4 linked regions of the Arabidopsis thaliana genome follow. The protein of the gene in region 2 interacts with the protein of the main gene of each other region in a biochemical or structural test. Each region holds a gene or a part of one and is shown on either strand. Other genes may lie near its edges.

What was found.
Region 1: of the proteins of AT5G65360 (region 2) and CPK4, one has a biochemical effect on the other in vitro, tested with the Arabidopsis thaliana proteins (one study listed by BioGRID).
Region 3: the proteins of AT5G65360 (region 2) and TFL2 interact in a test that uses a peptide from one of them, tested with the Arabidopsis thaliana proteins (one study listed by BioGRID).
Region 4: the proteins of AT5G65360 (region 2) and AT1G02740 are reported together in a solved structure, tested with the Arabidopsis thaliana proteins (one study listed by BioGRID).

Annotation. Positions count from the first base shown.
Region 1 is NC_003075.7:6,047,309-6,053,686, reverse strand, and holds CPK4 (calcium-dependent protein kinase 4), read right to left. Parts: upstream 4,247-6,378; 5' UTR 4,128-4,246; coding exon 3,590-4,127; intron 3,048-3,589; coding exon 2,904-3,047; intron 2,815-2,903; coding exon 2,662-2,814; intron 2,561-2,661; coding exon 2,445-2,560; intron 2,233-2,444; coding exon 2,065-2,232; intron 1,978-2,064; coding exon 1,753-1,977; intron 1,665-1,752; coding exon 1,503-1,664; 3' UTR 1,307-1,502; downstream 1-1,306. Other genes in the region: AT4G09580 (SNARE associated Golgi protein family), read left to right, coding at 236-506, 590-760, 835-966. UniProt on the Arabidopsis thaliana protein: May play a role in signal transduction pathways that involve calcium as a second messenger. Functions as a regulator of the calcium-mediated abscisic acid (ABA) signaling pathway. Phosphorylates ABA-responsive transcription factors ABF1 and ABF4 in vitro.
Region 2 is NC_003076.8:26,118,546-26,122,945, reverse strand, and holds AT5G65360 (Histone superfamily protein), read left to right. Parts: upstream 1-2,364; 5' UTR 2,365-2,436; coding exon 2,437-2,847; 3' UTR 2,848-3,087; downstream 3,088-4,400. Other genes in the region: AT5G65370 (ENTH/ANTH/VHS superfamily protein), read right to left, coding at 197-635, 790-1,238; HTR11 (histone 3 11), read left to right, coding at 3,121-3,540. UniProt on the Arabidopsis thaliana protein: Core component of nucleosome. Nucleosomes wrap and compact DNA into chromatin, limiting DNA accessibility to the cellular machineries which require DNA as a template.
Region 3 is NC_003076.8:5,826,309-5,832,598, reverse strand, and holds TFL2 (uncharacterized protein), read left to right. Parts: upstream 1-2,838; 5' UTR 2,839-3,061; coding exon 3,062-3,421; intron 3,422-3,734; coding exon 3,735-3,760; intron 3,761-3,840; coding exon 3,841-3,948; intron 3,949-4,060; coding exon 4,061-4,816; intron 4,817-4,898; coding exon 4,899-4,959; coding exon of another isoform or gene 4,960-4,977; exon of another isoform or gene 4,978-5,047; coding exon 5,048-5,095; 3' UTR 5,096-5,428; downstream 5,429-6,290. Other genes in the region: AT5G17700 (MATE efflux family protein), read left to right, coding at 1-285, 422-508, 583-639, 753-991, 1,096-1,214, 1,312-1,398, 1,479-1,574; AT5G17680 (disease resistance protein (TIR-NBS-LRR class)), read right to left, coding at 5,446-6,290.
Region 4 is NC_003070.9:598,227-604,809, reverse strand, and holds AT1G02740 (MRG family protein), read left to right. Parts: upstream 1-2,610; 5' UTR 2,611-2,788; coding exon 2,789-2,998; intron 2,999-3,103; coding exon 3,104-3,157; intron 3,158-3,249; coding exon 3,250-3,263; intron 3,264-3,437; coding exon 3,438-3,583; intron 3,584-3,833; coding exon 3,834-3,874; intron 3,875-3,984; coding exon 3,985-4,089; intron 4,090-4,296; coding exon 4,297-4,376; intron 4,377-4,575; coding exon 4,576-4,745; intron 4,746-4,833; coding exon 4,834-4,918; intron 4,919-4,997; coding exon 4,998-5,076; 3' UTR 5,077-5,480; downstream 5,481-6,583. Other genes in the region: AT1G02750 (Drought-responsive family protein), read right to left, coding at 676-1,035, 1,132-1,209, 1,685-1,830, 2,056-2,137; CSLD5 (cellulose synthase-like D5), read left to right, coding at 6,337-6,583. UniProt on the Arabidopsis thaliana protein: Chromatin remodeling factor. Acts as a 'reader' protein by binding to H3K4me3 and H3K36me3 to control histone H4 acetylation. Increases the transcriptional levels of the flowering time genes FLC and FT.

The sequences.
Region 1 (6,378 bases), on a different chromosome or scaffold from region 2:
CATTCTCAGTTTGTTTGTATGTGATTAGCTTGTTGTTTGGTATTATAGATTGAGAATTGAATTTATGCAAATGTAGAAACTGAAAGTGTTTAGCTTTTAGTAGTGTTACTTGAATTTCAAAATAAGTACATGCATTAGCATTAAGACTTGATTTGAAAGTTGCGTTTTCAGTTGAATGTGATATGCTTGGACTTACTATATGATGATGATATATTGATATGATGAATATGTGCAGAGAGAATCTTGGGTCTTATGCAAGTGAGTACCAAGCACGGTTCATTTTAGGTTACTGTTCGACGTATATCTTTATGCAGACATTTATGATACCTGGAACGATCTTTATGTCATTGCTTGCTGGAGCTCTTTTCGGTGTGGTTAGAGGTTTTGTTCTTGTTGTCCTTAATGCAACTGCTGGAGCATGTTCTTGCTTCTTCTTATCGAAATTGGTCGGTAGGCCATTGGTTAACTGGTTATGGCCTGAAAAGTTGAGGTTTTTCCAAGCTGAGGTAAGTTCTTTTGTGTTTGATTAGTATTTAGTAATGTCTCTTGTTCTGAAAGCATTAATGTCTTGAAATCTTCAATGGGTCAGATTGCGAAAAGAAGAGATAGGCTGCTAAACTACATGCTGTTCTTAAGGATAACACCAACACTTCCAAACCTCTTTATCAATTTGTCTTCTCCAATCGTTGACATACCCTTTCACGTCTTCTTTTTGGCGACTCTAGTCGGTCTTATGCCAGCTTCGTACATCACAGTTAGAGTGAGTCTATTGTTCAATCTCATTCCGCTGTTCTTTCGTGTTTAAGAGGCTAACATTTACTTTCATTTACACAGGCTGGTTTGGCTCTTGGAGATCTCAGATCAGTAAAGGATTTGTATGATTTCAAGACCTTGTCAGTGCTGTTCCTCATTGGATCCATCTCCATATTCCCTGCCCTTCTAAAGAGAAAGAGAGTATATGAATGAAGAGTCGAAGACTGAAGAGTATAATCATTTATATAGATATTGATGAGCAGCACCTTTCAGTCGCATGGCAGCATTTCAAAGGTGTTTATGAGCTCAAGATAAAAGAAGAAGATTGTTTCTGCAACATCGCGGAGCTTAAAATCGCTAACTCTGGCTTTGATTTGTTTATTGTCTTCGATTTGAGAGCTTCTCTTACCCCCTTGTAGTAGTAAGTGTTTGTGTAGCTAGTTTACTGAATCATGATTGGCTTTGTATATTGAATACTTGATTCAGAGATCTGACTCTGCAGCCTATTGGCTTATGTATAACAAACATGATTATGTAAATGCTTGAAGACATTGCTTTGACCAAATATGGGTGATTCTGATCATATAATGGTTCTATACGCAGAAAATATGAAGCAAAATTATCCATGCTTATAACAAAATTGAGAAAGTTGCTCATCTACAAAAGTGGAAACGAAAACAAAAAGGAAAGATTCAGTTTTTCTTTTGTGAGTTCTCATTTCTCAATTCCAAGTATATAGATGATTATAATTACTTTGGTGAATCATCAGATTTAGCAGTGCTGCTTGTGTCCTCAACTCCAAAAGCTTCAGCTATATTGAAGTTCAAGTTGTTCCTCATAGTTCTGCTCCTCCCAACACCATCTCCTTTCTTCATCATAGCAGTAAACTCTGAGAAATCAATCTTCCCGTCCTAACAAAACCACATATTTTCATCATCAGTTTTAAACCAAACTCACTAAGAAACAAGACAAAGGAAACAGATCATGAAGGCTTCTTACATTATCAAGATCAATCTCTTTGATCATGTCATCAAGAGGAGTGTCACAGAGACCAAACTCTGTGCAGGCTTGTTGAAGCTCGTCAATGGTGATATAACCGCTACCATCTTTATCAAAGTATGAAAACGCAACCACCAAGTTCTCTTCTCTCTCCATCTTGTTTATATGTAATGTCGCTGCTAGGAATTCACCGTAGTCTATTGTCCCACTGTTGTCTATATCCGCCTGCAAAACACCATTTAAGCTTTGTGATTCCTAGAAGAACGGAGAAATCAATATTCTAAAAGAGAGTTTTTGTTTTGGTATAATTACCGCATCCATAAGAGACTTGATTTCTGATTCCATCAATTCAGATCCAACTCTCTTTAGACCTGCTTTAAGCTCTTCAAAGGTGATTGTTCCACTGTTGTCTGTATCTATCATTTTGAACAATTCCTTCAGACCACCAATCTCTTCCTCCGAGAGTCTCTCCGCGATTACCTAAACCGGGAAATCAGTTCTTGAATATAAGCAATGGCATTGAGAGTTTAAAGAACTATAGCTTTCCAACTTATAAGGCCATTTACTTAAGTTTATTCATTTCCTGAAAATAGTTCTTAAAATGTGTTATCTTAGTCGATCTTCCTAACAGGGAAATCAGTTCTTGAAAATAAGCAATGAGAGTGGAGACTAAAGGGCTACAACTTTCTTACTCGTAAGGCCATTTTCTTGATTTTATTCATTTGCGAGAACTGCTTAAGTCGCGACAAGACTGCTGGGTCGAGAGGCTTGTCTGGTGCAGCATGTTCATCAACAATCCAAGGGTGACCTAATAATATCATCAGAGGAAAACTCAATTCTTATATCTTACAGAAATGAACAACAAAATACATGTAGCAGAGAGGAAAACAATCATAAGTAACAACTTACACAATGCTTCATGTGCAGAAATACGTTTCTTGGGGCTCCTATCGAGCATTTTGTAAATCAAATCTTTAGCACCTTCTGAGATAGTAGGCCACGGATCAGATTTAAAATCTATCTTCCCTTGCAATATCTGCCTAAAGATTCCTGACTCGGTTTCTGCAAACAAATTACTCATGGATGCTTAAATCACATAAGCAATATACTTGATTCAGTAGTAACAACGGTACTAGCTTTCACAAACTTACCTGCCCAAAAAGGAGGAACCCCACTTAGTAAGATGTACAAGATAACACCGGCGCTCCACACGTCTATCTCTGGTCCATAACATTTCTTCAGAACCTCAGGTGCAACATAATACGGACTTCCAACTACATCATACAGATACTGCCCTGAAGATGCAAACCCACACAATTGAAAATTTTGTTAAGCACTGAAATTAGTCGGACACAATGTAGCTCTGATAGCATCATTACATAAGCATAAGTAACACAACAAAACTATGTAAATCTTGCAAGAAAAGATTCAGAAAGATCTAGCCACAGAAAATTATTGGTTCTCTAACAATGCTCAAGCAGCAAATTGGAAATGACCATTCAACAAATGATTCTACAGATAACATATCATGAAACCGATTTTCAACACCAAACAAGACATTTCTCAACATAATCTAGACAATGAATCGAATAAAATCTGATAAGATCGCTTCATAACCATAAGCATATGTTACATATATAACAAAACCTTGCACAATCAACACATCCATATATATCAACTAAATGTCAAAACCAGATATAACAAAATTCAATCTTTCCCTAACAATGCTCAAGCAGCAAATCCGAATCAAGAAACCAAATCAAAACATTTCCTTGAACCAACCAACAAAGACAAAAACCATAAGATTCCAATCAAAAGAGAAGAATCAACAACGAACCTGGCTTGTAGAAGACAGACAAACCAAAGTCTGTAGCTTTAAGCTTAGCATCATCACTGGGACTATCAAACAAGAAATTCTCAGGCTTAAGATCTCTATGCATAACACCAAGAGAATGACAAGCCTCAACAACACCAAGAATAGTCTTAATCAACTTAGCAGCTTCACGTTCACTAAAACACCCTTTAGAAACAATCCGATCAAAAAGCTCACCACCTTCACAAACTTCCATAACAATGTGAACAAAAACAGAGTCTTCATAAGTACCCTTGATTCTAACAACATTAGGATGCTCAGAGAGATGATGCATGATCTGAATCTCACGCCATACATCTTCGTAGTCTTCACGACATACAAGCTTACGTTTTGGGATTGATTTGCAAGCGTAATTAGCTGATGATGATTTCTCTGTACAGAGATAGGTTGTTCCAAATTGGCCTTGGCCTAGCTTTTTGCCGAGGAGATAGTGATCTCTTAATCTTGGTGTTTCGTATGGAAGAACACTGTTTGAGGGTCTTCTAGGGTTTGGTTTCTCCATTGTTCTTGATTTCGAAAGTCTCTGCCTTTTTTTGGTGTTTATCAAAGGAGGAGGAGGAAGATGATACGAAGTTACGAACCCTTCAATGTTTCTTGGTCATGTTGACTCGTCTTATGCAATTATTATATTATTATTGCTCTTTTGTTATCCCGTGACCATTTACATTTATAGTATTTACCAACTATTATTGCAAATTTGCAATAAATTGAATTGATGAAAAAAATCTATTGATCTTGACCAAAAAAAAAAGAAAAAAATCTATTGAAATATAGGGACTAGGCTTGAGATTTTTACACAAATGGTTTGGTCATTTAGGTTCGGATTCGGTTATTAGATGTGAATTAATTAGCAGGATTTTAGATGGTTTTGTTATCCAATTTTTTTTTGTTGTTACTTTTGAATTAATTTTTCTAACCAAAGTAAGTCGGATTATATTAACATTATTAATAAAATCGATAACCAAATCGAATCAAATTTTTTATAATTTGTTTATTAGATCTTAAATACATAAATCCGATAGATCTGAACAAAAAACCAATCAGACTCGACCAAAAACAATGTCCAACAAAAGTATGCGTTACATTTCTCTTATATTTATTAAGATTATTAGGTAAATTGTGTTCAAAAAAAAAAAAAAAAAAAAGGTAGATAACCATTTATAGAGATAAATTTGTGCATGATATTTTTTGCAAGTATCAAGTATGTATGGATTTTATCAATAAAACATGATATTATCAAAAAAAATAACATGATATTTTATTTATGTAAGACATTAAAATATATGTGTAAAATCCATCCACTTAAATTATTTAATAAACAGAAAAAAGGTTGGTTCTCAATTTGGCTACTAAACATTATGTCTTAATTGGGAACATGATTTTTTAAAAATCTATATGATTTTTTTTTCCCCTAAAAATCTATATGATATAAAGAGAAAAGGTCGTAAATGGAAAACATATAAAATTCACCGACATGCATGCACACTAACCACCGAATGGACAAGAACCAATTTCTTCATATCATATTTGGTTTGGTTGAGAGTTCACACGGTTTTCGCAGCTTTTTGCAATGCACGACTACAAATTTTAAACCTCGCTCGTCGTGAAGACCACTCTTTCGTTTTGGAGCAATATTATAAAATAGACGTGGTACATGTTAATGTAAATGTAATTGTGTGAATGTCGTATAATACTATAATTTAACACAAAATTATTTCTCTATAATTGTAAAACAAAGTCCAATCAGCAATAAAATAAAATTTAAACCCGAACTATCTAAATACTTTTAAAAATCCATTTCTAATACTTATTACATTACGCCTTAACGATATTAAAATATGAAAAGCAATGTGTACCGATTCTTTATGGCTCTATCCAATCCATGGCTATGCAATATTCCTCATCTTTTGCAATGAGTTCCAACGTAGAAAGAAAATTTCAGGTATTATTTTGCATGCGTCGTTTTAGTACATGTATTCTTTATTTCATCGCCGTTGGGTAAGAGACCTAGATGTATAAGCTTTAGATATATTTATTTCATTGTTCATCTTCAAAATCTGACATCATTTGGAAAACCTCCAAAATCCATCTTTAACCAAACCCAAATAGCATCGGAGGACACTTTATTCATAAATGATGTTAAATAGATATTTTCTAAATAAAATTGGAACTTTATGCAGGCCCCTATTGGCCCATCTTTAAATAAGCTTGGGCTTTCAGCTTCTGTTTTTTTTTAATAAGATGTTCGTTTGATTATCTAGGTTGCTGCAACAGCGGCAGATGCAAGTAAGTGCGGCATAATGCTGCGGTCAACGCTTAAAAGTTGTATTATATATGATAAATGACAATTATACCCTTATTATGTTTGAGAAACTACAAACAAACCTAACTCTATTTCTTCTACTTCTTTTTCATCATTTCTCTCTTACACTCATCGATCTCAAACTCTTTGAAACCAATCTCTCTCCGCCGCCGCAATCTTGCGAAATATTATCCGGTGACTTGAGCTCAACTAGATCTCCCGTCGTTGGTTACTTCTAATACAACGTTGAATCTCTACTCCGAGGTACTTTCGTTATTCACTGACTGAAATCTCTTAAATATTTTGAGTTTCTTATTTATTTGTGTTCTCTTAGTTACTCTCAGCTTGATCGGTTTATTCAAAATTTCCAAATTCTATGTCTGTTTCTATATAATGGGTCTAAATGTTTGGAACTAATACTTACGGTCTTCTTCACTATATAGGTAGAAAT
Region 2 (4,400 bases):
GGTGGTTTTGCAAATTATAAATTCATAAGATATTTACATATAGTATTCATAATTTATTTATAAAACACCTAACATGGAATCGACTCATGTATAATAAAACCACCCATAGAGACGAAAACCAGGTGTACGGACAATCTATGATAAAATAAGATTTTAACTACCAAACCGGACCAAACTGTTATTTTCTCATCAAGCGTTACATATCTTTTAATTTCGATACCAAATACCAAAAATCTGCAATCAAATACTTGCTTCGCCAAGAAAACTCGCTCAAACCCTCCTTGCAGTTTTCAAGCTTCTCCAAAACCGGAACCAACTCGTTAGGTTTAGCTACTCTTACGTTCAATTCTTCAAATCTTATCCTCATCAATCTTATGGCGGAGAAGTAGTCTTGTACCATTAGTTCTGTCATTTCAATAACGATTTTGTTCAGCTTCGACTGTGGAGCTTTTGGCCTATCACTTATATGTTCGAATAGTTCTACTAGGAAATCAATTTGTTTGAGAATGCAATCCATTGGGTAAGACGAGACTCGCTGAGTCTCCAAACGCTTATCTTCGTTTTTTTCTTTTATGTTTGGAGTAATACCTAAAACCTCCGCAATAGATAAGTAACAATCTAGATATTGTTTGTACCTATTCAAAACCAAATTTTGATGAATCATAAAAATTTCGATTAAATTGTGATTTAACGTTAAATCAAAAACAAAAATATATAATAAAGAATAATCGACTTATCGATTGTGCTCATCTATATCCTAATCAATCCAACAGTATATAGAAATCTTACCATTGAACCCATGGAGTCAACTCTCTAGTAAAACGAGATGAATTTACATTAAGATCATTCAATTTAAGATTACTCCCTCCTTGAGTATAAATCAAAGTACGATGATTAATATTGTTCCGAAGACTATCTTCTCCATTATACCCACTTTCTGATTTAACCATTTTATGGAGAAGAATGAGACATTTAGCAGCCACACATACGTCCGTCGTCACACGCAGCCTATGCAAGATCGCATCAACAGTATCAGGACCGTAACACGTGTCAATAGTTGATTGGAGAAAAGTGACGTATTTGTCTGAAGGCGGGTTGTTTGAGGTATGAGACGTGGCTTTCAAGAGAGCTAAATCAATGGTTTTGGCATTCACGGAGCTACACAAATGAACCACATTGAGTTTCATCTGTGAGGCTTCGTCTTTCAATATGCCATTCAAGGTCGCTAATTTTCCCATTTGAAATATAGTTGTTCTATTCCAATGTTATGAAACTTTAGCAATGTGGCTTTGCTTTAATAATGTTTATAGGTTTCACAATGTGTTTTTGGTTTGATTTGATTGTAAGGTATCAAATATATATGTTGTATAATAGTCATCTATTGAACATGTGTATTAGATGGAATTTTCATGCCAGGATTTAATTAGATATTCAGTTTTGAAAATTAAATACACATGGATTTTATTGCAATAACTATTTAATTTATTATTATTTTATCTATTTATAAACTAAATTTAATGTTATTTTCTTAAAGTTTCATAAATGAATACTAAAGGTTTAATTTACCTCTATCTAGAGTACTTTGATTATGATATATTTTTGATAAAAAGTTCATTAAGAAAATCTGACAACATTTACATACGTATATGGATAAGATTTCTATTAATTGACTTATCTCTCAATTTATTTTAAGTGAAAATTGAACTAAAAAAACTTTTAAAATGACGTTTTCTCAACACATTTTGTAAGTATTCACATTATACAAAATTACAGACACTTTAATTTGTGAGTATAACACGTATTATTAAATAAACAGAAATGTAAGAAATATAAAACATTATTGCTTCAGTAATCAATTTCAAATCAATCAACTAACTCAACTCTCAATCTTTGTATCTAGATTTAAAGCCTGATTGGCTGATTTTACACCACTCACACGTTAATAATAGTTAACGTGCGTCAATGATATTATTATTTCTCGACTTATGTATTCTACATGGGCCACATCAGCAGAAACTAAGATTATAATTTCGTGGACTGATACACAACATATTAACGGGCTTAACCTAGACTCTACAACATGGGCTTTTATTTCATAGAGGCCTTCACTGTCAGGTTCCAAAATTTAGCGAAAAGGTTTAAAAGACGCGCCTAAATAAAAAAACTAAAAAATTGTGAAGGAAGCTAAAAAACTTGGGCGCTAAAGAAAACTAACCTGATTGGCTGCTTTAGACGTGACGCGGATCACTAAAATTAAAACAATCACAACCGTTGATTAAATAAAAGATCTAACGACGCAAAACAAATACTTCCCTTGTATACGCTTCGCTATAAAAACCAATCCAGTATCCCTTTAGTCTCAACATCTTCTTCTTCTTCATCAAATCTCACAAATCTTCAACACTTAATCACAAATCTCAAAGCTTCGGATACCAAATGGCTCGTACCAAGCAAACCGCAAGGAAATCCACCGGAGGAAAAGCCCCAAGGAAACAACTCGCAACAAAGGCGGCGAGGAAATCAGCTCCGGCGACCGGAGGAGTAAAGAAGCCACACAGATTCCGTCCTGGAACTGTTGCCCTAAGAGAAATCAGGAAGTATCAGAAGAGCACTGAGCTTCTGATCCGCAAGCTTCCGTTCCAGCGTTTGGTTCGTGAGATCGCTCAGGATTTCAAAACAGATCTGCGTTTCCAGAGCAGCGCCGTCGCAGCACTTCAGGAAGCGGCTGAAGCATACCTCGTTGGATTGTTTGAAGACACCAATCTTTGCGCGATTCATGCTAAGAGAGTCACTATCATGCCTAAGGATATTCAATTGGCGAGGAGAATTAGAGGCGAGAGGGCTTAAGAAGGAGATTGAAGTACTCTAGACTGTGATCGTTATGCTTATGTATATCTTTCGTTTTCCCTAATTTCGTGTTTTAGGGTTGGATTAGGTTTTGCGTTTATGTTGTTCGATATCTAACGGATCAAAATCTCTCCTTCCTTAGCAAAGTTTGAAAACTCCCTCCACATTTTCATCTCCTTTTCCACATAACCAACTCAACACTTTTCAATTTCTATAACAATTTCGAGAAATCAAAACCAGAATTAATAAAATTAACCAGTTGATTCTTTCTATATGGCTCGTACCAAGCAGACTGCTAGAATATCCACCGGAGGAAAAGCTCCGAGGAAGCAATTAGCGCCAAAAGCGGCGAGACAATCTGCACCAGCAACGGGAGGAGTGAAGAAGCCACACAGATTCCGTCCAGGAACTGTTGCGTTGAGAGATATTAGGAAATACCAAAAGAGTACCGAGATTTTGATCAGAAAGCTTCCGTTTCAGCGACTTGTTCGTGAGATCGCTCAAGATTTCAAAACGGATCTGAGGTTTCAGAGCAGTGCCGTCGCTGCTCTCCAGGAAGCTGCTGAGGCTTACCTTGTTGGGTTATTCGAAGATACAAACCTCTGTGCGATTCACGCAAAGAGGGTGACGATCATGCCTAAAGAGATCCAATTAGCGAGAAGGATTAGAGGTGAGAGAGCTCGAGGAGAGTGATGATTTTGTTGTTCTGCGAACTGGGATTTCATGGGTTTTTCGATTTACGGATTTGGGTTTATGTAAGTTTCGATCTTTGCTGCTTTGGAATGTCTTGTAGGTTGGTTAGTTAATGCTTTTATTTGCAGCTAAGGTGTTTGTGGAAATTCCCCAATGAAACTTGTAATGTTCAATACAATCCTTACTTTGGTTCTCAAAAGTCTTTAGAAATCTATGGTTCAAGATTTTACCTTATAATTCTCCAATGTCATGTGTAGGATGTCTTCTTACTCTGTCTCCGACTAACCAGACAGCATACACTTGTGTGATTACATAAAGACAGTTACACAGATCAACCGGAACCAAACACAAACACTCTAAATAAGATGCAAGACTTATATATTAACATCAAAGAAGACAATGTTGTGGTTTGAATAATTAGATCATTTGTGTCCGATAGAAGATTCTATTGACACTTCATCGCCGTGGAGTTGTAGATTGAGGATGAATGACATGATTGCTCTGGTCCTAACCAAAGCAATTGATGGCTCCAACATTCTCATAACCAGGCCGCTACTATCTCCCAAAGAAAGACTAGCATTGGTAGCCTGATGTCAATGTCTGTTAGATCATCAATCACTGGTGCTTCTGTTCCATTATAAACTATTGAGAATTGGTTCAGAATCATCATCATATATCCATCTCTTCTTTCCTAACATACATGATTGTTTTGTTTGTAGCTGAGGTATAACAAAATAGAATAATAGATCGTCCAGGTCCCACATAATCTCTAACAAACTTACGGTTTAGATTAGATAATCACCGTCAGATCTCACAGTTGCAAACATGATGAAAATAAACGGTCCAGATTCCTCTAACGT
Region 3 (6,290 bases), about 20 Mb from region 2:
AATGTACCTCCAAGCGCAGATGAAAAACGCCATCATAGGCATTCTTTCGACCCTAGCCTTGGTCTTGGACATTGCGGCCACGTGGTGGTGCGTAAGCGTGATGGGGATGGGGATCCATGGTGCGCTTCTAGGGCTTAATATAAGCTCATGGTCGGTGGCCATAGCCGAGTTTGTATATGTGTTTGGAGGGTGGTGCCCGCATACTTGGACCGGCTTTAGCACTGCTGCTTTTCTTGATCTTATTCCCATGCTCAAGTTATCCATATCCTCCGGCTTCATGCTTTGGTAACTTGCTTTTATTTGTTAATTTTTTTCGCGGGATTAAAACATGATTATTAAGCGTGGACCACTACTAATAGGCTAATACAAATTTCTAATGACTCTTCTTTTGCTTCTCTTGTTTATTTATTGCCTCAAACAGCTTAGAGTACTGGTATATGAGCATCATTGTCTTGATGTCTGGATATGCAAAGGATGCGAATATCGCAATTTCCGCTTTCTCCATATGGTATTACTTAAATCCGAAGAAGTTTTTTTTTCCATATACATATGAAAACTAAATACTTAATTCAAAATTTGCAGCCAATATATCTACTCATGGGAGATGAACATATGCTTTGGCTTGATGGGTGCAGCATGGTTTGTAACTATATACGTACTCTCATTCACAGTATTTTGTTTTTGATGTATACATATATTATTTGTTTAATACTAAAGTGAATGTTTCTCTATCTATGAATCCGAAAATGTAGTGTACGAGTGGCGAATGAATTGGGAAAAGGCGATGCGGATGCGGTGAGATTCTCGATAAAAGTGGTGCTTGTGGTATCAGCGGTGATCGGTGTGATATGTTCCGCTCTTTGCCTAGCGTTTGGCGGTCAGATTTCGTATTTGTTCTCTGATAGCCAAGCAGTTTCGGATGCAGTAGCTGATCTCTCCATCGTCCTTAGCATATCTATACTCTTCAACATCATCCAGCCCATTCTATCTGGTTACAAAATAAAACCCTTATATTAGACATAAATAAATTATAACATAAACTTTTAGATTTCACTAATTTGTAACCACTAAATTTGTTTGAACATATATAAACAGGGGTAGCAATTGGAGCAGGGATGCAGAGTATGGTAGCATTAGTGAACTTAGCATCTTATTATGCAATTGGTGTTCCTTTAGGTGTCCTCCTTGTTTACGTTTTCAATTTTGGGATTAAGGTACATCATATATATGAAAACTGGTATCCAGTACTTCATTATGATCAATCATTAGAACTTTTAGAATTTTAACTTGAATAAATGATATTGTATGCAGGGACTCTGGTCCGGAATGTTGGCTGGAGTTGGTATCCAAACGTTGATATTGTGTTATGTTATTTACAAAACTGACTGGGAATTGGAGGTAATTTACTTTTAATATATAACTCAAAATTTTTATTAGAAAATTCGTCATATTAAATGTATAATTTTATCTAATTACAGGTTAAGAAGACAAACGAGCGTATGAAAACGTGGACTCTAAATTTACCTGCTGTACAATCGACTACTATCTCCACAAGAGATGAAGAGAGAAAGTGAACATACAACTAAGTTAATTTAAAGAAATCTTTTAAGAAATTCTTTATAAAAAAAGAAAGAATAATTTATGTTGTATTGTGGTTGTGTTTTGCATTCCCTAAGAATGAAGTATCGGTGTTGAGATTGCATTATTAGGTTAATGCAACTCTCATAACTTTGAAAAAGGTTAAGAAGGATGAACTTTTTCTTTTATCAGAGAAAAAGGTTGTTCTCTTGTTCTTCGGATATACTCTTTCTAAACAAAAAAAAAATTGTGGGAGGTTTGAAATTTTAACTTCTTTCTTGATTTTTTAATGGATGTATATTTTGTGTGTGGGGAAAAAAATTCCATTTGTTTGAGTGCTTGTAATCGTGAATTTTTACAAAAAAAATATTCTCATATATATTTCGAGGAAACGTTACAAACTTTCATAAGCTCACCATCAAATAAAATACTCATTTATTTATGTTGAAGTCAAAACGTTCCATTTTTCCCCCTATTTATGAACCGATCCTAATGAATGTTTTTTTTCTTCCTTTTTACTTCTTTCATATCACCATTTTAAATAATAATAGTAATTATTATTTTTCTAACGTTTAAACAAAAAAAGAACTGCAAATTTTATAGTAACAATTCAAATTTAACAAAGCGATCAAAACATGCATCATTTAGTGTACAAGTACTAATCACAAAGAAACAAGTTTTGGTTGGACAAAGTATAGAACAAACACACTAAACTGAAGAAAATAGAACTTTAGCCCACCAAAAGTTGAGGCTAAAACTCGAGCAGTAATCACATAGTTACTATCAAGATAACTATACTTTGGAATGAAAGAATCTGAATCTCGATGAAGTTTATCTTGGAGAAGGACTTTCTTTTCTGTTGGTTTGGATGAGATATTGCTGAAAATTATTGATGATGATGTTAGGAGATCCAACTAAGTTGTCTGCCTTTGCAGTGCACTTGGAGACTTGGAGTGAGAATCTTAGTTTATGAGACTTATTTTCTGATTTTTCAATCTCCTTTGATTTTTTTTTAAGTTGTAATAATGTCCTAGTTGATTTCCTTGTAAAAGGAGCAAGAGCACGATGTTCTTTTATTTCTAATTTAAAGAAAATGTTTTCAGTTTAATATATTTTTCGATTTAATTTACCTTCACATATTTTCTTCAGTAGTATTTATTATTTTCATATTAGTAATTAGAAATAATCTCTTCTAATTAGATTATAAACGTTAAGAATTTGCTGTATTCAACTTTTCCTATTGTGATATTAAAAAAAAAAAAAAAAAAGAGAATCCAAAAAAGTGAAAAAACTGGTCTTTGAGGTCAGGTCAGGTCTTCTTCCTGCAAAAACAAAAACCTCAGAAATAGAGAAAAAGTTTCAATCTTTCTTCATCTTCTTCCTCCAAAATCCTTGATTTCTAAAAAGGAGAAGAAGAGAAGAGAACGCGATTACCTTGATTCACCCTCCTCCTTCAGGTTTGGGAGGCTCGAATACTCAGGAAATGAAAGGGGCAAGTGGTGCTGTTAAGAAGAAACCCCAGGTGTTGAACGAAGCTGGTGAGGCGGAGACGGCGGTGGAAACAGTCGGAGAAAGCCGGAAAATTAGTGGAGACGGTGGGTTTGGCAGTGACGACGGCGGAGGGGGAGGTGGAGGTGGAAGTGGAGAGTCGATTCTTCGCGAGATTGGTGATGATAGGCCTACGGAGGATGGAGATGAAGAAGAAGAAGAGGACGAGGATGAAGATGATGGAGGTGATGAGGAAGATGAAGAAGGAGAAGGAGAAGGTGGGCAAGAGGAAAGGCCAAAGCTTGATGAAGGGTTTTATGAAATTGAAGCTATTCGTCGTAAGAGAGTTCGAAAAGTAAGCTCCTTTTTTCGTCTTCACTCAGCAAATGTGGTTTGTTTTTGTTAACCATAATTAGTTGAGGTTTTAGGTTTTCTAGGTTTAAGATAAGTATCAAACGTAGGTTACACATTGGTGTGAGAAAGTGGCTGCTTTAGTAGTTAGTAATCATCGTAACAGAGTAGTTTATAACGAACCAAAGTTTTGATTCTGTGGTTGTTATATGTTGTAGGAAGAAAATGATCTTTAATGTTTGATATCTTCTTGGATTTGATTGATTGAATGATTCTGATTCTGCATTTTGGTACTGTTTTTTTTTTTGTATTTGTAGGGCAAGGTTCAGTATCTAATTAAATGGTGAGTTTTTCTAATCTTACTTGGTTTCATTTTTAAGTTTGTTGTTCTTGATTAAACATATGTTTTTCCATTGACATAAGTTATAAACTCGGTTGTGAAAGGCGCGGATGGCCTGAAACTGCCAACACATGGGAGCCTTTAGAGAATCTCCAGTCTATTGCTGATGTTATAGATGCCTTTGAGGGAAGGTAAGTAAATGGAATCTTATATAAAAGTTTTGTGATACTTTTGAATTGATTGTTTCATGGATTTTCTTGGTTTAATGTATGGATTTGCTTTCTTGTTTCATATGTTTCAAAGTTTGAAGCCAGGAAAGCCTGGTAGGAAACGGAAGCGCAAATATGCAGGTCCTCATTCTCAGATGAAGAAGAAGCAACGTTTAACATCTACATCACATGATGCTACTGAGAAATCTGACTCTTCTACGTCTCTCAACAACTCTAGCCTTCCTGACATTCCTGATCCACTAGACCTAAGCGGTTCGAGTCTATTAAATAGAGATGTGGAAGCGAAGAATGCTTATGTATCCAACCAAGTTGAAGCCAACAGTGGGAGTGTTGGGATGGCCCGACAAGTTCGTTTGATTGACAATGAGAAAGAATATGATCCAACACTTAACGAGCTACGAGGACCAGTCAACAATAGTAACGGTGCAGGATGTTCTCAAGGAGGAGGCATTGGTTCTGAAGGTGATAATGTAAGACCCAATGGCCTTCTCAAGGTTTATCCTAAGGAGCTTGATAAGAACAGTCGTTTCATAGGTGCTAAGCGGAGGAAGTCTGGTTCTGTGAAAAGATTCAAACAAGATGGATCCACAAGTAACAACCACACAGCACCTACAGATCAGAATCTGACACCAGATTTGACTACATTAGACTCTTTTGGTAGGATTGCAAGGATGGGGAATGAATATCCTGGTGTGATGGAAAATTGTAATTTGTCTCAGAAAACCAAGATTGAGGAGTTGGACATCACGAAGATACTTAAACCAATGAGTTTTACAGCATCTGTATCAGACAATGTCCAGGAAGTGTTGGTGACCTTTTTAGCGCTGAGGTTTGTCTCTTTAGCTCTTTGGTCATTTCTCGTAATTTGATTTCATATTTGTACAATTGTACTTATTTGGTTACTCTCATAGGTCTGATGGGAAGGAAGCATTGGTGGACAACAGATTTCTCAAGGCTCACAATCCTCATCTCGTAAGATTATCTTTATAGCTTTTTTTTTCTGCACTTACTCATTTGGAAGTTTCTTATTAGCTTTTCTAATTTGTTTTTCCCACACCAGCTGATTGAATTCTATGAGCAACATCTCAAGTACAATCGAACGCCTTAAATCATCCGGAATGGTAAGAATTTGTTTGTACACAGCCCTTGTAGGTAGAAAAGATTAGATGGCTTCTTTATTCTAGCAGTGCAACATGTAGAGTCGAGGTAGCGACAATTGGATTTTGTATCGCGTCTCCGGGAGGTTTCAGATTGTAATTTATCTCCTCGGGTTCGTTGTGTTCACTCTCTATCTCTATCATAGTAAATCTTGTTACTTGGACCTTTGCTTCTTATAGCGGAAGTTTTCTTGTACTTGCTTCTTCAAAGATCAAGTTCATGATATGTTGATGTTATCAAAATATATGTGATCAATCAATATATAATAATTATGTTTACAAGCAAACCAAGTAATTTTTTTTACTTTCGTATGACATTTCGCTGATGTAATTTGGAATGACGCTCTCGAGCCAAAGGAACTGGAAGAAACTTGATCCTCTTGGGATTTAGTTGTTCCTTATGCAAGAACTCAGTTTCATATGCTCTTCTTTTCAAAATTCTTGCGTCATCAAATGCCTTTGGAAGATCCAAATCAGAACTCTGAATTTTGTCAGAGTCATTAGAGAACTCTTGCATCATGTCTTTGAGTGATATAAGGTGTACCGCACATTTTTTAACCTCTCCAAGCGGGCTAAAGGAATCTCCTTCTGTGTTTTCGACTGAGAATTCAAACAGGGCTTCGCTGTAAGCTTCCATGGACGTGCAGGTTCTGCTGAATAAGAGAAGGTGATCTGATCCAAAATACATGTTTGTGAAAGCTTTTGGATCAGGATACCACACCTCATCCATAACAACCAGCTCACAAGCATCAGCATCTTTTAATATACAAGAGCAGTGTATCTTCAGATTGTTCATCGGGTACTGTCCATCAACTCCAATCATGATGCAGGCAGAAAATCCCAGAATGTCAGACGATGATTCACTCTGAGGTAACTGTATATTCAGCGAAGGACCCATGACTTGGTGATTGAAGCAAGTGGGTATGTCACTTCCAGGAAAATAAGAGTGTTCTGGTTTTGCTGACTCTAGCTTCAAGTTACGGTGAATGAGAATCTGCGCTGCTTGATCCAATTTGTAACAGTTGCTAGCTACAAGCTTTCGCAGACAATATTGGTTGAAGCAACCTGAGATACTCACTAGTGATGTGCAGCTATGGATGTAGATATACAAGAGACCTCGTGGAAGCTCATCGGGCAATGCTTGAA
Region 4 (6,583 bases), on a different chromosome or scaffold from region 2:
CGGTTTTGATCATACTCGCCAAAGTGCATGAAGAAGGTTTTTTGAATGTGTTTCGTGGAATAACATTTATTTTCGCCAAGAACATAACTTTATGCTTTCCGATTTTTAGTTTACAGTGTGTTACATACTCTGCGAATGGGCCCCTATTTACTCTGTTTATGAAGTCAATTTTTGAAATGTTGGATGCTCTCGAATTGGATTTGCAGTTACGAACAGAGAACACTTATACGGACAAAATTCTGAGGTTCGTTATATAAAGCAGTGGGAAGTTAAACAACGTTGTAGTAACTGGGTTCGTTAGCGTGTTAAAACAGCATGCTTTCAAAAAGTTGCATCGCCCACCGTGGGGCTCGAACCCACGACCACAAGGTTAAGAGCCTTGCGCTCTACCAACTGAGCTAGACGGGCTTGTTGACTATATTCACACTATTGTTATACTCATATAAAAAAAACACATCCCAATTTTAACTAGATGCAGGAAAGAAATTTGCAAGGACGGTGCTCTGCGACAAAAGATTCTTGTGAAGAAACAAACTGAAAACTCATCAGCTTATATTATAAGGCTAAAGCTAGTGTTATGTCTGTAAAAAAGATGCATATATATAAATAGAGCTGAATAAAATTACAACAATGACAATCACCTGCCTTTCCCATTGGCGACTTCACATCTTTATTTTACTCAGAAGAGTCACATTCATCATCAAACATGGCTGATGACAACAGTCCCTGTACAAACTCACACTTCTTTGCCTTCTCCAATTTATCACTATCCGATAAAGGACACGACGATGTACCCTCTTTTGCTGCTGACGAATCCTTAATCGGATTCTTGTCTTCTACACTTGAATCAGGCAGCACAAGCTTGGTCTGATTTGGTAATGCAGAATTGTTGATGAACGATAAAAATTGATCGGAAACATGTTTAGAGGGATGCTGATGATGATTCATAGATGGTGGCAACTCATCAAGATGAGGTTGAAGATATTTATCAGATAAATATGGATCTTCCCTGTAAGACATTTCCTTCTGCTCACTGTAAAATTATCGGTCAAGGAATTTCAAATAAATCACATTCATTATAGCGACGGAAATTTGACTTGAAAGGTTTTGAAAAGAAACAAAAAAGGATATCTTCAAGACATCTCTATGATGTGATGTTATATGATCCACCATATGCATCTTCACCCTTTTGCTACATACAGGACATATCTACAAAAACCACAAAACAACCAAAACGAATTGTAAGATGATGCTACCACATGACAATTCACGGAACCAGATTAATAATGTTCCATCATACTACTTATATATTCATTTCTTTAGCTCGTAAAACCAATCTATGCTTCAAAACAGAGAGCTCAAGTCACCTACTCTCTATAGCAAGTATGTAAAGCCAAAAAAAGTGTCAAAAGTATTAATATCCTAAAACCTTAAACTGATCAATGGAGAGTTATGTAAAACCCAAAGAGTAACTTAAGATAAGAGTGGCATGTTTCTCTATTAAAACTATTTGCAATAGCAATCAGATTCTCAAACGCATCAATCTAAAACAAATCCTAATCAAAATTATAGATTGAAGTTATGTTTCCCACAATCCGAATAACTAAGCTGTGTAAAACTGCTTCATGTGAAGCTTGAGTGTGAAATGAAAAGAGCAGGAGAGATAGGAAGTGAATTCACAAACCCCATTGTTAGCTTCATGACGATGTTCTTCGTCGATATGGTGACACAATTCAACTAAATCATAATCACTTGCGCAAAACGGGCATGGATACTCCACTGCTATATCGTCGTCAACTTCTTCAAACTCTTCCAAATCTTGATAAGGCCCTGAAATATTCACCACTAATTAACTCGAGAGCAAAAGAGAAAAAAAAAGTCTTCTCTCATCTAAAAAGCAAAACGTAAAGCTACAATTTTTAACTTAAACGACCAACTACAAAAAGTCATCAAAACAGAACTCAACTCAATCGAAACCCAATTAAGACCAATCTTCAATCATAAACCCTAAAAATGAAGTTTGAAAGAAAAATTGAGGGGATTTGGATAATAAACCTGATTGATACTTAGCAGCAGTTTCCGATCGATAGCTTCTAGAAGAACCAGATGAGCTAACGCACCACATATCGTCTTCCATCTGCTTTGTCGGAGCCTTTCTTATGTAAAAATCTCAGATAATTGATGAGAGACCTTCTTCGTCGTGTCAGCTAAATACCCAATTGTGTAAGAGATAGCAGAAAGAAAATGTCAAGAAACTACTCCACGGAAAGGCCAAACCTTTTTTTAATCCGCCGAGTCTTAATGGACAAGAATACTTCGGGTGGTAAGAGTGAACTACTATTATACCCTTACATTGCACTGAGCCTTTTTCTCAGCTAACTCAGGGGTGTTTTTGTCCTTTTCTTGTAAGGATGTTACTGTTATTGCATTGCTCCCCAAGTTAATTATCAGTAAAGGCCTGACTTGAAATTATATAAATGGGCTTAAAGTCAAGATTTTGAAATGATATAAATGGGCTTGAAGTCAAGATTTTGAAATTATTTAAATGGGCTTGTAGGCCTAATAATAAAAGCCCATGTTAAAATCTGAGAATTTTTAGATTCTGATAGACGGAAAATCCCAATTTTCCCGGAAATTTTCAGACAAAATCGCGTTGAGATTCAACAACTTTGAGTGAGTTTTTTTTTTTGTCATTTACCTTTGTCGCTTCGACGTGAGACGAGCCGTGGAAGAAGACGAAAGGGCTCTTAAGCTCTCTTTACTCTTTTCTTCTCCTCCTCTTTTTGAGATGGGAAGCCCTAACGCCGCCGCCGAGACGGATCTAACAACCGATGATTTCATCGGAGACACACGACGGGACTCTGGTTCTGATACAGAGACCAACACCGATTGTGACGGAGAAGATTTGCCTCTTCTTCTGCTACCTGCTCCTCCCGGCCACTTCGAAGAAGGAGAGAGAGTTTTAGCCAAACACAGTGATTGCTTCTACGAAGCCAAGGTTAGTGAAATACACTCTCTGTATTCTTGAATTAGAGTGTTCTTCTCTGCTTATGCTTTATGTCTCTGATCGTTTCCTTTTTTTTTTTTATAATAATATTCTCAGGTTCTTAAAGTTGAATTTAAAGACAATGAATGGAAATATTTTGTGCATTACATTGTAAGTAGATACTGTATATGTTTAAAATCATTCTTTTGAGCTATTTTGCTTCTATCTTTAGTTTTGAAGATGTAAATGATTTCTTTTGGCAGGGTTGGAACAAAAGGTTAGAGCTTCATCCAATATAGTTACTGGCTTCTAATCGGTTTGAAATCATTTGAAACTATTTATAAATAAGAGAATTCTTCATATGGTGATTTACTGATTTGTTTGCCAAGTCTCAGTTTTTTGATAATGTAAAAAAGTCTTTGACTCTTGTATCTCTTCTATACAATGATAGTTGGGACGAATGGATAAGGCTGGACTGTCTGTTGAAACATTCAGATGAGAATATTGAGAAACAGAAAGAACAGGGTTTGAAACAGCAAGGGATTAAGAGTGCTATGGCTTGGAAAGTGTCAAAGATGAAACCTAGAAGCCCTAATGGTCAGTCAGCTTCTTCTTTTGTTTGTTTTGCATATTCTTGTCTCGATGGATATCTTGCTGCTTTTGTGGATATTCAGAGTCTCTATCAGGGACTCTCATTTGGTCTTGCTTGCTTTATTCTATGTCGACTAAGTAGAAGTTGTTGAGATTAAAGTATACATACACATCTTTCGTTGTTAGTTGAGATATTGTGTCAGTTGAGATATTGTGTCAGCTGAGATTTTGTTCAATATTTTCTTAATTTTTGCAGTTGCTAGAGGAAGAAAGCGGAAGCAAGATTCTGTTGATACGGTAATCGCTCCTTTAGTGGATGTATTTGCTTAATCTTTCAGCTTCCAAATATCCAGGGATTTTTTTAATCAGGGGAGTCTTACTCATGTCTTGTTGTTTGCTGAATACAGGAGAAGAATGTGCTTCCCTCTGACAACCTTTTAAGTTTCAATATTCCACCAGCATTAAGGAAGCAACTTCTTGACGATTTTGAATTTGTTACTCAGATGCAGAAGGTATTTCTATCAGCCTGTTATTTCTTCTCTCAATTCTCAAACGGTCTTTTCTGTGTGTTTTGACGCAGTTGACCATAGTCTTTTGATTCATTTAGTCAGAGAAAAAATATTCTTGTAGTCGCATGAATATATTTGTTGTGAATGTCATATTTAGGTGCATATGTTAAGGAATTTATTTTAAGTCATTTTTGGGAATTGTCTGAGCAGCTTGTGCAACTTCCGCGTTCTCCAAATGTGGATGGCATCTTGAAGAAGTACATTGACAGCCAAATGAAGAAACATGGCAGGTAAGCTCTTTGTGGATTATAGTTTCTTTCTGCTGTCAGTTTCCAACAGTTACACTTGTTAATCTCTTTTGTTGCTATTCTCATATACTTAAAGAGAGTATAAATCATTTGTATATGCTCCATGGATAATTTGGTTGACAGATAAAGCGTATTCCAAGCTTCTGATATATCTAGTACTTTCTTTGGTGAATCTATATAGGGTAACAGATTCATTAGAGGAAATTCTGAAAGGCTTGCGTTGCTACTTTGACAAAGCTTTACCGGTGATGTTGCTTTACAACAATGAACGGAAGCAGTACGAGGAATCCGTATCAGGGGGTGTTTCTCCTTCAACTGTGTACGGAGCAGAGCATTTGTTGCGACTCTTTGGTAAGGCCAGTTTTTGTAATCTGCAAATCTGCCTTTATCATGTGGTTTAGTTGTCAAGATAAGACTATATAAATATTGAGTTTTGCAGTGAAATTACCGGAGTTGCTAGTACATGTGAATATGGCAGAAGAGACATTGAAGGAATTGCAGGACAACTTTGTTGATATTCTCAGGTTTCTTCTTCTTGTTCTCCTACTTAACTCTTTTTACAAGTATTTAAAGACAAATAACAAAAACAAAATGATAAAGCAGGTTCTTGAGGAAGAATCAGAGTGTGCTTTTTGTATCGACATACAAAGCAGTGGAAGAAATGGAGAAGAAAGAAGGTTAGGAAATTGTGCCTAATGACGTGTTCTTGTAAGTATGTGCAGCGAATCTTCTCTTTGTAGTATTTTGTAACGAGACCTAAGACCATCCTGACCATCCTTATTGATGGTCTCTTAACATAACTCTTATGTTAAGAGATATGTCTTATAATTAACAAAAGTGACTTAAAGTCTCTTATATAAGAAATTTTGTTAGTTATAAAACATGTCTCTTAGCATAAGAATTGTTTTAAGAGATCATCAATAATGATGATCTAAGAACTATTATACTATGTTCCGTCTCGATTTTGAAAGTACTTAAACGTCGTTATCGTGTTTGTCTCGGCGTTTTAAATTCCACTGTATTAGTAAGAATTTATTTTTAAAATAACTTTAGTCATTTTTAATTATCTCTTCTCCCTTTTCAATTATTAATGATCATAGTAACTTCTCTTGATTTGTAAATATGCTACATAGTTGATCTTTTGAATATACGAATGAAAACATATTATAATAGTATGTGTTCAAAATCTTTTGAGTTTTATGAGTACAGAACTATATGTTTAATGGGCAGATTAGTATATAAAATTACCAGTGCATCAGAAGGAATAATGATCTACTCGAGTAGTATATCAAAATAATACTATTCAAATGTATACCAACGACAATGAGTTCAAAATCATCAAACCCCATGGGATGATGAGCAAATAATATTTTTATCAGCTACTCTATACATCATTTGATGATAATATGCAAAAATTGTATACCAATGAGTTCAAAATTATCAAACCACATGGGATGAGAAAAAAGCATATTACTATTTTTAAACAGCTTCTCCAATATAAATTTATTTGACCGTTACGGAAAGGGAGAGAGATACACACACTCTTTCTCTTTTATTATTTTCCGTTTATTTGACTTTTCTTCTTTATAGATCGACCTGGTCCCACGTAATCTTTTCAAACTTACCGTTTGGATTCGATAATCACCGTCCGATCTCACATGAAGCAACGTGAATAAAATGAACGGTTTAGATCTATCGACCGTTTATAGCAATACCTTTCTCCTTTATAATCTCTATATCTCTCTCTCTCTGAATTTCGAAAATTATAATGCTCTTCTGCTTCGTACTAGCTGCTTCAGCTTCTTCTTCTTCTTCCTTAGATTCAAAATCTCTCTTCTTCTGAGTTTCTGATTTTCAAGTTTGAGAACTACTCTTTTCCTTCTAAATCTTTGATTTTTTTCTCTCGTGATTTTTGTGGTTCACTGCTAATTGTGAACCAAAGATGGTGAAATCAGCAGCTTCTCAGTCACCATCTCCGGTGACTATAACGGTGACACCATGTAAAGGATCCGGCGACAGAAGCTTAGGATTGACGAGTCCTATCCCACGCGCCTCCGTCATCACCAACCAAAACTCTCCTCTAAGCTCAAGAGCCACGCGTCGCACTTCCATTAGCAGCGGGAATCGGAGATCTAACGGTGATGAAGGAAGATACTGTTCTATGTCTGTGGAAGATCTAACGGCGGAGA